Arabidopsis thaliana: one gene and its partner. The protein of the gene in region 2 interacts with the protein of the main gene of each other region in a pairwise test. Each region holds a gene or a part of one and is shown on either strand. Other genes may lie near its edges.

What was found. The genes of interacting proteins can lie anywhere in the genome.
Region 1: the proteins of CASP (region 2) and STP1 interact in a protein complementation assay, tested with the Arabidopsis thaliana proteins (one large-scale study listed by BioGRID).

The regions. Positions count from the first base shown.
Region 1 is NC_003070.9:3,775,184-3,781,486, forward strand, and holds STP1 (sugar transporter 1), read left to right. Parts: upstream 1-2,052; 5' UTR 2,053-2,276; coding exon 2,277-2,409; intron 2,410-2,716; coding exon 2,717-3,039; intron 3,040-3,745; coding exon 3,746-4,375; intron 4,376-4,467; coding exon 4,468-4,950; 3' UTR 4,951-5,640; downstream 5,641-6,303. UniProt on the Arabidopsis thaliana protein: Major hexose transporter. Mediates an active uptake of hexoses, by sugar/hydrogen symport. Can transport glucose, 3-O-methylglucose, fructose, xylose, mannose, galactose, fucose, 2-deoxyglucose and arabinose. Confers sensitivity to galactose in seedlings.
Region 2 is NC_003074.8:6,334,722-6,342,413, reverse strand, and holds CASP (CCAAT-displacement protein alternatively spliced product), read right to left. Parts: upstream 5,723-7,692; 5' UTR 5,491-5,722; coding exon 5,388-5,490; intron 4,988-5,387; coding exon 4,877-4,987; intron 4,758-4,876; coding exon 4,579-4,757; intron 4,497-4,578; coding exon 4,347-4,496; intron 4,124-4,346; coding exon 4,035-4,123; intron 3,948-4,034; coding exon 3,838-3,947; intron 3,719-3,837; coding exon 3,624-3,718; intron 3,527-3,623; coding exon 3,471-3,526; intron 3,372-3,470; coding exon 3,206-3,371; intron 3,089-3,205; coding exon 2,996-3,088; intron 2,864-2,995; coding exon 2,735-2,863; intron 2,612-2,734; coding exon 2,492-2,611; intron 2,372-2,491; coding exon 2,291-2,371; intron 1,863-2,290; coding exon 1,755-1,862; intron 1,653-1,754; coding exon 1,509-1,652; intron 1,420-1,508; coding exon 1,318-1,419; intron 1,228-1,317; coding exon 1,148-1,227; intron 1,061-1,147; coding exon 968-1,060; intron 879-967; coding exon 818-878; 3' UTR 626-817; and 1 more. Other genes in the region: ILR2 (iaa-leucine resistant 2), read left to right, coding at 1-496; AT3G18470 (PLAC8 family protein), read left to right, coding at 6,716-6,770, 6,881-6,952, 7,037-7,249, 7,353-7,414. UniProt on the Arabidopsis thaliana protein: May be involved in intra-Golgi transport.

The sequences.
Region 1 (6,303 bases), on a different chromosome or scaffold from region 2:
TTGGGTATTAAACATCCAAATTAAAATTAGTTGATGTTGTTTTTGGGATTTTCCCCATTTTGCATAAATTTTTGTTGAAATTTACCTTGATCTTTTTTTTTCTTTGAGAAAACCCAGGGACCATCTTTTCGTTTTACAAATTTAGTTTATCATTTATCATTCGTACAAAATATCCTGTATTTTCTTTATATAAAAAAGATCTTGTCTTTATCATCCTTCACTACGACGTTTATTAATTAAAAATCCACCCAAAAATGTCATATTCGTCCCTTTGTCCTTGGATTTTATATTCACTGCTCTAGCAATTACTATACTTCATTTTACACAGATTTTTCAGGAAGTTTGACAATTATGTTGTTTTGGAATTTCGCAGTGAGTTTGAAATTATGAAAGTTCCATTTGGTTGTGAATTATCAAAAGGGGGAAGTGTACAGGGGTAATTTAGGAAGTTTGGGTTATGATAAATGATAATCATATGCAAATCTTAGTTCAGAAGTGCCGCGAATCTGGGAAAAGAATAAGCACAGCTTTTTAAAATTACCTTTAACCCCTTTATTTTAAAACAATTTCTTTATTCGCCTTTACCTTTTTTTATCAACCAAATTTTGCCTCTTTCTCTTTACTCTGCCTATTAAGCAAAAAGCCAAAGATTAGATGGAAACCAATTAACATCAAGTAAGACTGAAGAAAGAAAAAGAGTATTTTAAAATTGCGTACATATGAATCTGTCCTATAAATTTTGAACCTATCCTAATACCACGGACTTATATATGTGAACGTTAACAACACTTTCAAACTCAAAAAGAAGATATATGGATAAGCATTCCACGTAACCGTACATTGTTATGTTCTTTTCTAGATAAACAAAATCTTTGCGTGGTCGAAATTGAAAAATAAATCTTTATATCTGTAAAGAAAATTTCGATGTCACTTTATAAGAAAAACCAATGCTGCATCCCATGAAACAAATTAATTCCAAGAACATTATCCAAAACGAATTTAATGTTATCCAAATAGATCAAGAAAATTAGTTGGACCGTCGAATGAAATGCGATCCTTGCTGATTAGCACATGACGTGTTCATTTATTTTTGCCACCATTCCACCGACCTCAACTCTTCTTTTGGTAAAATTTTATGTTTATGATATCTTGTGATACACAATTTATTACTATTTGGTACATTTTGAAGTATTTGTTTTTGCATGATATATGACGTTAATTTGAACTGATATTAGTCAATTTATGGGTACAAAAGTTGAAAGTTTAGAGCACTATGTTGGATTTATTAAAAATGATATCATACAATGGTTCAATATATATATATTTTTTTCCACGTTTTTAATAACATTTTTGTAAACAAGTCTTCTACTATTGTCTTTATTGTTAATGAGTTTCTAGTACCTAATTAGGAATTTTGAGGATATACGATACATTAATGAGTTACATTATCCCGAAAACAAAATCTTGAAAACGAACAAAGATAATTTGGACATTACTCGTTATGTATACGTATGGAATTGGATAGAGCCGTTGAACCATCAAGTGGGTCTTCAAGTCAACGAACTGAATTTGATTTTACACTCATGTACATCGGCCACAATTTTATTCACACACTACTAACACCTCTGGTGTCCACTTTTTTCTTTCTCTAGATTGATGTGTTAAGATTTTTGTTGCAATTCATTTATTCAGGTATTTTTATATATATATATATATAAATTAGAATAAACTAATTTAAAGAAAGATATAGCAATTATGTTTCACATTTTAACATTCTCAATCATTTATAAAACTAATGTGGTGATGAATGGTATATATATATATATATATATATATATATATATATATTTTGTTGTGAACTAATGGTAAATATTTAAAATAAGACATACGTACATAAATCCACGGACTCTTAAAGTCATGATGCGGTTAATAAATGTTCACATAACGGTAACCAAGTGGCTCAAAATCATGAAACAACGTCACATAATTTATCTTATAATGTGGATAATTAGTACCGCATTATTTGTAAGAAAATTAAATTAATTATAGATTCACAGCTAAGAAAATACGAAAAGACAGCTCAACACTTTTCCACTTCTATTCCCCACTGTCTATATAACTCTGATAAATAATCTCTGATCTCTCCATCTAATATCTCTTTCTCAATTTCGGTTCCACTTTCCTTTCGTTTGCAAAAACCCATCCCATCAAAAATAAACAAGAGGGCCTAAAGAAGAATCCTAAAGACTTTACGGGTCTTGTTTAGGATAAAAGAAATGCCTGCCGGTGGATTCGTCGTCGGGGATGGCCAAAAGGCTTATCCCGGCAAACTCACTCCCTTTGTTCTCTTCACTTGCGTTGTTGCTGCCATGGGCGGTCTCATCTTCGGATACGATATCGGAATCTCCGGTTAGTGTCTCTCTATTTTTCAGATTTTACATTTCCACCCCAAAAGTATCTATGTAGTCATCAACACACCCAAATCAGAAATAATAATTGTCGTTTTTGATACGAAAACATTAGAGTACCCACCCCATATTTTCACTTTAGTCATGATGACACACAAGGCTCAAAATTACAGAATCACCAACAATATTGCAAGTCTTTAAAATTACAAAATCGCCGCACATGTTTTAAAACAGAGTCATGTAAACCCTCATCCATGTCTGATAAATTTTCTCTGGGATATCTGTTAATGAATTTAAAATATTTACAGGTGGTGTGACGTCTATGCCGTCTTTCCTCAAGCGATTCTTCCCGTCGGTGTATCGGAAACAACAAGAGGACGCGTCAACGAACCAGTACTGTCAGTACGATAGCCCGACGCTAACGATGTTCACATCGTCTCTATATCTAGCGGCGCTAATTTCGTCGCTGGTGGCTTCCACCGTGACAAGAAAGTTCGGACGGCGGCTCTCGATGCTCTTCGGCGGCATACTCTTCTGCGCCGGAGCTCTCATCAATGGTTTCGCCAAACATGTTTGGATGCTCATCGTCGGTCGTATCTTGCTTGGTTTCGGTATCGGTTTCGCTAATCAGGTCCGTCATTAAAAAACCTTAATTTTAATTACGTTGGTTTAGTTTACAAATAACCATCCATAATGTGTTTCTATCAAAATTGATTTTTTTTTGTCGAACAGAAAACTAACAAAAATAAAATTGTCTTTAATACTACTATAGAAGTTATTAATGTATTGAAAGTTATATTTATAACCGTTATAAATGTACCTTGGTTTTGGAAAAAAAGTTATGGACTAAGCCAACTACTTTCATTAAACATAATCATAAAATAGTTAGGTCAACTTGACTTTATCAATTTTCTTTTGCTTTTCTACTACAACGATCATTATATTCCACGTTATAGAGTATATGATATTACAATTATTGAATTTTGTTATTGATTTGTTTTTCTGCTAGTATCCACAATTCCACATGGTCTTTTCATTAGACTGTGATGATGTCTCTTTCTCTCCATTTCCATTGTTTTAATTAATTAAAAAAATATATTGTTTTTGACGTCATATTATATATTTTTTAGTTAGGAAAAAGGTCATATTCGGACCTATCTTCGAGTTATAACGCAATGACAAAATTGACCCTGTTTAACTTCCATATTTACGTTCATATCTCTATTTGATCTCGAACAATCAGAATCTTCACTCACTTAAAAAAGTCAGATTAGGACACGTATCTACTTAAACCTGCTAACTACGTAACTAACCCTAGTTAATATCACTATTTACAGGCTGTGCCACTGTACCTCTCTGAGATGGCTCCATACAAATACAGAGGAGCTTTAAACATTGGTTTCCAGCTCTCAATTACAATCGGAATCCTCGTCGCCGAAGTGCTAAACTACTTCTTCGCCAAGATCAAAGGCGGTTGGGGATGGCGGCTCAGTCTCGGAGGCGCGGTGGTTCCTGCCTTGATCATAACCATCGGCTCCCTCGTCCTCCCTGACACTCCCAATTCAATGATCGAGCGTGGCCAACACGAAGAAGCCAAAACCAAGCTCAGACGAATCCGTGGTGTCGATGACGTCAGCCAAGAGTTTGACGATTTGGTCGCCGCTAGTAAAGAGTCGCAGTCGATAGAGCACCCGTGGAGAAACCTCCTCCGCCGCAAGTACCGACCACATCTCACAATGGCCGTTATGATTCCGTTCTTTCAACAGCTAACCGGAATCAATGTGATTATGTTTTACGCTCCGGTTTTGTTCAACACCATTGGTTTCACGACCGATGCTTCTCTCATGTCCGCTGTGGTCACTGGCTCGGTTAACGTGGCCGCTACGCTTGTTTCTATCTACGGTGTTGACAGATGGGGACGTCGGTTTCTCTTTCTTGAAGGTGGTACACAAATGCTTATATGCCAGGTAAGGAACAATTACTACTTTTATTTATCTCTAAGATCTATATAAACATATACTAATAAAGATGTGTTGGTTCACTCTCTGTGTAATTGTAGGCTGTGGTTGCAGCTTGCATAGGGGCCAAGTTTGGGGTAGACGGGACCCCTGGTGAGCTACCAAAGTGGTATGCTATAGTGGTTGTAACGTTCATTTGCATCTATGTGGCGGGTTTTGCGTGGTCGTGGGGCCCACTAGGGTGGTTAGTACCGAGTGAAATCTTCCCGTTGGAGATAAGGTCGGCGGCGCAGAGTATCACCGTGTCCGTGAACATGATCTTCACGTTCATTATCGCGCAAATCTTCTTGACGATGCTTTGTCATTTGAAGTTTGGGTTATTCCTTGTTTTCGCCTTTTTCGTGGTGGTGATGTCGATCTTTGTATACATTTTCTTGCCGGAGACGAAAGGGATTCCGATAGAGGAGATGGGTCAAGTGTGGAGGTCACACTGGTATTGGTCAAGGTTTGTGGAGGATGGTGAGTATGGGAATGCGCTTGAGATGGGCAAGAACAGTAACCAAGCTGGAACGAAGCATGTTTGATTTATCATTGTTTTTAATGAGAGTTTTAAGAAAGAAAGAAAAAAGATTTGTAATTTCTAATGTCGTAAAGGAAAAAGTGTATTAGCCTAGATATTTATTGGTGTTTATATAATTCAATACCACATGAAGAAATTATGCATATGATTCTTCGTTAATTGTCTGTAATTGTTATACTCTTTACTTAAACCAAGTGTTTTCTCTTTGATTCTTCTTTCGCAGCATTGTACTCCAATGAACCACCAACAATATAACTAAGTACCACCAACAAAAATATATTTAGACAAAAATCTAAAAATGCTGAGATCAACAAAGAAAATCCGAGAAGAAGCTAAAAATGCAGAAAATGTTAAATTACAAAGGTTCATCATTGGTAGAACGAAAAGAAAGACAAATTAAGCAGAGAATAAGCTTTGGTAATAATAAACAGCATATCCGGTTGAAGGGTCAAAGAGTAAATCATAAGATTTGTCATGGAGATCATATATCACCCGATGTCCCCAGCTATTTCGACCTTGAAGCAATAGCTTATTCCCGTCCATGATTGCTATTGGAGCCAATGGGTAGCTGAAAGAAAAAAACCAAGAGATATTTACTGTGAGATCTATGGAACACAATTTCTTCCATGTCTTGTTGTTGAAAGTTAAACTTGATTTTGAATCAAGTTTAATTATTGGATCAATTATCCAATAATTAATTATGGCCAAATCCAAGTTCTAGAGTTTTCTCTAGAAATATCATCATTTCCACCTCCTTAAAAGATTCTAGAAATTTTCTAGAATCATCTTCCACCTCCTTAAACATAAAAATCTAGATACTCTAATAGAATAATCTAGATAATTTGAATAATGTAATCTAGATCTTATGTAAGAACTCTCTAGACTTAGGATTAAAATATTTTAGATATTTTGTAGTTTGGAGGCTATAAATACCTCCTCCCCCTCTCAAATGTTGCAATGTTGTGAAGTTGTATTCAAGTTTAAAGCAAAGTAATAAAAGTTCTATTTCCTAAAAAACTCTCTCAAAACACTTAAACACTTTCTCCATTACCTCTAAAAGAATTTTACTCTAACAAAGTGGTATCAGAGCTTGAAGATCCTAAAGATGGCGAGTAATAATGTTCCCTTCCAAGTCCCGGTGCTCACAAAGAGCAACTATGATAATTGGAGTCTACGAATGAAGGCTATCCTAGGAGCACATGACGTGTGGGAGATAGTCGAGAAAGGTTTCATTGAACCGGAGAATGAAGGTAGTCTTTCTCAAACTCAAAAAGATGGTTTGAGAGACTCAAGAAAGAGAGACAAGAAAGCTCTCTGTCTAATCTATCAAGGATTAGATGAAGATACGTTCGAGAAG
Region 2 (7,692 bases):
TCAGGTCACTTCTGCCGCTGATAACCTCGAAAAGATCTCTTCCTTTCTCCACATGAAACACAGCATGGCTTGGTTCAATCAAGTAAAAGGAGTTGCGGATGATGTTGCTGCATCCTTTGAAGGATCCGGCACCCTTGCTGACTGCTCTCCACATGGGTTGGTTGCTAACCAAGTCATGGTCGTTCTCTCTACCCCGGAACATCTTCCAGAATCACCAAATTGTATTGCTGATAAGCGTGCAACCTATGAGTTCGGTTACCAGCTCAAAAGCACAGTTCGCAACCTCCCTCCCCTTGCGGAAGCACTTGCCGCCTTCTCTCAGACATATATCAGGATGTTTCCTAACCATCCCTTCTTCGGGACGTTTGGGTCGAAAACTCTTGATCATGGCCCGTTCTGGAAAATAAGGCCTATTGGCTCCAGCCTTACCGATAACAGCTCCTACCTCACTATCCCATCGATTGTCAAGCAAGCATTCAAAGGCCCAGCCACGTAGGTGTTGTTGCCTAACAGATATCAAGCAACGACTTTCATTTTATTTTATTTTGTATTTGGATAGCAACAATTATTCCTGTCGGATTTGTTATCGTTTTGGTGCATTTTTCATGGTTATTTATGTTTCGAAGAAAAGTAAACCAGATCTTATTTAGATTTCTGCAGTTTTCTGAAGGAAGTTTTTTCTGTGGCTTTATATATGTATCGAGTGATTTGGATCCCTCTGTACAAATATTCAACCGTTTTAGAATTGCCCACGGAACACTACAAGGACAAGAAAGAACATAACGACCAAAAACGAATAAGTCCCTAGGGTGAGAGCTTAAAGACCGTGAGGAAGGTTTGTGGTTGCTTCTGTCATTAGAGTCTCCTCTGCTCCATGGCTAAACCATAAATAAAGAAGAAGAAATTAAATAAAATCAATCACATAATGGACTTGTAACAAAAACAAAAATTGGTGGGTTTGTTTTACCTGAGATAACTGTAAGCAGACATACGGTAGAGACAAGTGAAGACAAGGACGTGCAATCCTATTGTGTAGAAGAAAGCAAATGTCCTTGCGTATCTGAAAGATCCAATCATGAAATTGAAAATAACCGAAAATTCTGTGATCGAGTATGAATGTGAATAAACTTGAGAGCAAGAGGATTACTTGTTTCCTAGAAGGAACCGCCCACTGCTTAGCGTAATCCGATCTCTGATTCCCAAATCTTTGATCCGTTGCTCTCTTTCCTATCAAACACATATAAATAGGAAAGGGTTAATGTTTAGGAAAGAAATATAAGGCTTGTGTCGATGATAGCAGAATGTTTTATTTTTTACCTTTTTCGAGAATGCTGCAAAAGGGTTGATGTCATCTTCGTAAATTTTCTTGTATTTTGATTCGACATCCGAGCTGAATCCACTTTCAAGATCTTCCACATACTGAGATTGGAAAACGATATCAACCATGGAAAAAACCCGATCACGAGACAGAAAAGGTTCAAGGGAAATGTATCGCAGAAAACAAATACCTTTTTCGATCCTCGGGAAACAACTTTATCATGGTTATAGTCTTGGACATAACGGATTTTCCCATAGAGTTTGACGTTGTCTGCTTTGGTCTTCTCCAATTCGTCTGTGAGAAAACCTATCTTCTCTTTTAATCGCCTTATTTCCTGCAATGTTAAGAGAACACATAAAATTCAGTTCAAATAAATTTAACTGGAGATAGAGAATACAGAGGGAAGAGGATCATTTATATGTACAACTAACTGTACCTCTTCTGTTTCCCGTAATCGTGCTCGGAACCGATCTCTTTGGCTGCAGATAACTTTTAGCATTGAGCTTTGATCTTGCTCTGATGGAACATGTTTCTGATCCATAGGCTAATAAAAGGAAACACAAAATGATAAAGAGCAGTAGTTAGTGATAAGTCTAATTGTGAGGTATATAATATACCATATCATGGAAATACCCTTAGTTGTATGAAAACTTTTTAATGGTTTGACAAGAAGTTCAGAGGTATTTTGCTTTTGAAAAAAAAATAGATCATGGTAAAATATATACGTACCACGATTCCCTAGCAATATTTTAATTCACGCCATAAATAGAAGGCAGAGTGAGCATACATGTTAGACCGTTAAGATTATCTAGTAGAGAACTTAAAGCGATAGGTTACTGTTTATCTAACTCTTAGTTCTGAACGATTCCATCCTTTCTTTTACTTTTGGGAAAATTTTCCTGCTTTAAGAGTATTGCATGATAAATTACACGACTCATTGACTCATATATGCACAGGGCCAGAGAGAAGTACCTCAGACTGCTCAGCCACACCTGCTTCTGAGAACTCCCATTCATCAAATAGAGCACCTTTTCGCTCTTTTGAACCGTAACCCTGTGTAACAAGTAAATAAGGTTTCAGTATAATCAAAGACTTTGATCGAGTTTCTCCTCCTTAGTAGCAGTAGCACAGATACCTTTTAACTTAAAATGGTAACTACACACTCTTACGTACCTTCAAAATATCATCCTCCAACTTTTGTATCAGTCTTTGTTGTTCATTAACCTTAGCTGTCAGTTCTTCTCCCTTGGCTTCAGCCTTCTCAAGCAAGGAAGCTTTCTCAGAAAGTTGAACCTGGGAAAAGAAGTGGTGTGAATCGACCAGTGACTTTACTTGTGTATGTTCACTGAAAAGGGAAAGAGTAACGAAAAGACAGAATTACAGATGGTGGTGGTTCATTCCGTAGAGGTCATGTACCTTTAACTGAGTGACCTCATGTTCCATTTTTCTGTTTTTATCAAGAAGAAGCGACTCCATTTTGCTCATCTCTTCACCAGTGGTAGCAGCATCCCAGTCTTCAGCCTCAATTGAATTGTAACCTACAGCCTAATATGCAACAATGATATTACTACATACGATCGTACCGTTACCAGAAAGAACAAGGTATGGATCTGTGGCAAGAAGTTAATAAGAAGTTAAACTAAGTGAGCACCAAAAAACACTTGAAATGATGAATACCTGCAGAATTTTCACTTTTTTGCGCAAATCATCAACTAATTTTGCTGATGGTCTTTCTTGAAGCTCTTTCTTCATCTCTTCAATGATAGTATCCTGGTTTAATACCAAATGACGGTAAGCTAATATTAGACATTGAAGGGACCGGAAACTAATTTTCAGAACAAAATATAATTTCTCAGCATAAAAGACAAAACATAGCACAAATTTCACCTTTTTATTGAGCAAAGAATTCAATTTCTTTATCTCGGCAACATGACTTTCTCGCTCATTAGCTAAAGCTGTCTCAACATTGTGAATCTCCATATTAAGCTCCGAAATAATCTTCTCTTTTGCAGTTAACGAGTTCTCCAGCATACTATTCGAATCAATATTATCACTGTAGAGAAAGAGCATAACAAAAAAATTAAAACAAAGCAAAAACTTAGATAAAAGTTATTTGACTCCTTGTTATATGGACGCATAAGTGTCACCTCACCTTTTCTTGTTATCAGTATCTTCATTAGCTGTTTGCAGCTGAGAACGCAGATGTCCCTGTTACAAACCAATAAACAAAATTAGAGAGCTAAAAACGGTGGTTTATCTTAGGGCATTCCCTTAATTCAAACAAAGAGAGCATGATATGAAAGACCTTTTCCCTCTCAAGAGTAAGGAGTCGGGTCTGAGCACGCTCCACTTCATCCATCAATAGACTAACTTCAGATTGCTTCCCCGCGGTCTCTTCGTCTGATGGTTTAGACAAAGGTGACATATATTAACAAGACAAGAAGGAACAATATGTAAGGGAGACCATTCCAATTATGAAAGCACAATATGAGTCACCATATTAAGGCTCAATGCACCACCTGATTGAGCACGGAGTTCAAAAAGTTGGTTCTGTGCTAACTCATGCAATTTTTGCATAGTGGAGACGCTGTCTTTTGCTTGCCTTAACTGATCTTGCAAAGCTTGCTCCCTGTTAAACAGTGAACAAGGAAAGGTTGGTGCTTCCTCGAAAACTTTCTAAACACCCAAAGCATGCAGAAGAGAATTTTTTTTTTACCTATCCTTTAAAAGCTCCATCGTTTTCTGGTTTTCCTCAGCCAGATTTCGTTGCTTGATCTCAACAACTTCTTTGATTTTTTCTTCCATCTGAATCCAAATATAACAACTCGATATCACTGCTAATCTTCGACAGTTATTCGTTACAAGATCACAAAATAGCATCTCTATATAAATCATGCTTATGGCTCAGTGTATAAATTTGCATTTGACCTCCTAGAATAGACTGAAAAATAATCAAGGAAGCTGTGCTTTACATTCATTTAGTTTTATCCCTATATCAATTAGAAGAAGAGGTTAAAAGCAAGCTGACCTGTTGCTCAAGCTGGCGGTTCCGTTCTTCAAGCCTTCTTATTGTGGCCTGCTGATTTTTAAGATGAGTCGCTTCTGTCCTAAACTCCTCAAGTTCAACTTTCATCTTTCGATTTTCAGATTCCACTTCAGATAATTTACGATCTTGCTCCTGGAATACAGCAATTAGTTGGTTCTCAGGCTAAAGGACTTTAGGTGTCTATTATGTTAACATTAGATAAGTGGATAATTACAGCAATAGAAGCAAGAGCAGGAAACGGATCAGGTGCTTCATAGAGTTTCTGATAGATATTTAGGAAAGCATTCTCCCCAAACTTGGCCCTCTTGGTAATATTATCTACTTCTTCTTGATATCCCTTGAGGAGGGAATTAAACATACTAAGTTTGTTCTCAGGCGAAGCTTTCTTGAAGTCTGTTGTTACCAAGATAAACCAAAGAATATGTTAACATCTCTTCGCTGGAACCTATCGAGGTCCCTCAGGAGAAAATGTTGAAGTGTTAAGCAATATAAAAGGTGAAACAAAAAAGTACCTCGTGTGCTCTCTGCAAGCTTTCGGCGATTCTTTTGGCTGTTTTCTTGATTTTCAGCTATTCTAAGCCCTTGCTCGTCAAGCAGGCTTTTCTCCTTCTCCAAATCAAATTCTGCAACAAGTAGTTTAAAGACAAGTAAATGGATCATTCGGGAAGAGCTTTCTTCTATGATGATGTCTATCAAAACAGCGAGCAACCACAGAACCAGTTCTCTAATTGAAACTGGTTTCGTATAACAAATACAAAAGCCGGAGAATCGAGATGAAACTAGTTATCAGTACTGAAAAATGTGTTGATAACTTTTAAAGCAATAAACTGAAATTTCTCAATCCGATCACATTAAACTACCAATGCAATCTCCCCGAACATTCAGTGAGAATCTCATTAAGTCTTACTACTTAAACGGAATCCTAACAAACGAATTTCTCCTAACTACAAAAACAAGCTCATCCTCAGCTTCACTACGAGTCGAAGAAAACGAATAGATAGCTAGACATAATCTGAAACAAACCTTTCCAGAAATTGGTGACGACAGGAATGGGAGAGGAAGAAGAAGAAGAAGAGGAAGGAGGAGGAGTTTTATCTCTTTCCGATCCATCTTGCGAAACCTCCATTGTACTCGTATTCGGATCCCGATCTCGTTTCTCCGAAGAACACAAGCAATACTTCGATACGAAGAAAGTTTCTGGGAAGTGATTTCTTCTTCGAATCCGACGAATGAATTAATGAGTTTTCTTATTGTTGTTTTGTTGAATTTTTACTACTCCGATCGGATCTTCTGAGTTCAGATACATTAGAGTTTAATGGTGGTAGAAGCGTAATTCTTATTTATTTTTTTGTTATGAGTGTGATCCTAAACAGGCTTCAAAAACGTAAGGTCCAAAAGATATAGAATAACCAATGGGCTATTCCTTGCGCCATTCATAGGCCCAGTATTGATTTAGTAGAATAAATTCATGTTTATTGCACATCTAAGTTGAAAACATTTGTCAAATTTTGTTATGACTATTATTAATTAATAAAATTTTAAGTTTAAATTCTAATTTATTTCACTGGTTAGAAAATTTTAAAAGTTTATTTTTTTTCCTTCAGTTCTTTTCTTTGTAATTTGTTAGTATTAAGTAATATTACTTTACTAATAAAACCAGAATATTACATTAGATATATTTTTCAAAATTTTATTTTAAAGTTTGCAAGTTTGATTCCTTATATAGAGGAATAATGTTTGAACATATTATCTCTTATCTACAAATAATTTTAATAGAAATTTTATGAATAGAAAAATGTTGAATTTAATATTTTAAAATTTAGCATAGCCTGTTTTATTTTACTTTCGCATTTTTAGGATGTATATTTCTTTTTTATTCATAATTTCTTTAATTTTCTTAGTCATTAAATTAAATTCTTTGTATCTTGTATATATGTGTGGATTAAACCAATCCCAAAAACGCGTTTACATATTACTTTTAAGTAGCTTAAAATCTCTCACAATCAGTAAAATCTCTCACCTTCCTTAAACAAAAATCAATTTTCAAAAAACCTTCCTCCTTTTAACAAAAAGTGCAACGTACTAGTTTTAAAAGTCTTTTACTCTTTTTTACAACTTTTATGATTTTTCCCAAAGTGCAATGTACTAAAAATTAAACATTTGTAGATCTCTCGAAGCGATCCACCATCAACCATATATATACCCACCCACCCTCCATTCTTAAAGCATCTAACAACAAAAATCTATCTTCAAAACCCTAATTAATTGATTTACGATCTCGCTTATCAAAAGATCGATCAACACAAAACTGGTTAAAACCTGACGCAAGATTTGGTTGAAGCTACTTTACAATGGAAAAGCAATGGACTTCTGGTCTTTTCAGCTGCATGGAAGACAGTGAAACTGGTAGAAATTCTATATAAATTTAATCAAGTTGTCCTTTAATCTTTATACATATATAGATCTATTGTCAGGATTGTATAATGATTTGTTCCTTTTGGTTTGTGCTGGATAAGCTTGCCTCACATGTTTCTGCCCATGCGTCACTTTCGGACGGATCGCGGACATTTCCGACGAAGGAAGGACCGGTAAGCCATACATTCACATATGTCATATCTAAACAATGTGTGTGTGTGTGAATTCACGTAACGTCGTATATATAATGTACGTAGGTTGTGGGAGATGTGGGGTATTTTACGGGCTAATATGTTGTGTGGTCGGCTTACCTTGCTTGTTCTCATGCACTTACCGGACCAAGATCCGAAGCAAATTCGGGTTACCGGAGTCTCCAACTTCGGATTGCGTCACTCACTTCTTTTGTGAATGTTGTGCTCTTTGCCAAGAACACCGTGAACTCAAAACCCGTGGTCTTGACCCCTCTATTGGTAAATTGCATTGTTTTGTGGACTCACTTTCTATTGAAATAATTAGTGTCTTTCATACGTTTGATTAATTATTTGATGTAACTTTATTATTTTTATGTGATAGGGTGGAGTGGAAATATGCAACGGACGATGGCTCCTCCTATGAGTCAGCAGATGATGGGTTGATTAAGAAGATTTCTGATTTGCAATATGATTTGAATTAAATAAGTGGTTCACGAAAACAGCACTTTTAAGTGTAGTTTTATATTGAGCTAGCATATTATTTTAAATTCTTTTTCAGATTTTATCAATATTGTTTATTTTGATATGTGAAAATAAAAGAATTGGAAGATCGTATTTTTTCATCCAAGAGGGCTTATTTTTTCCCTTATTCGATATATTTGGTGTCTGGCTTTGGTACAAAAATAATCTGTACCTAAAAACGTCAACTAATTGCACAAGTC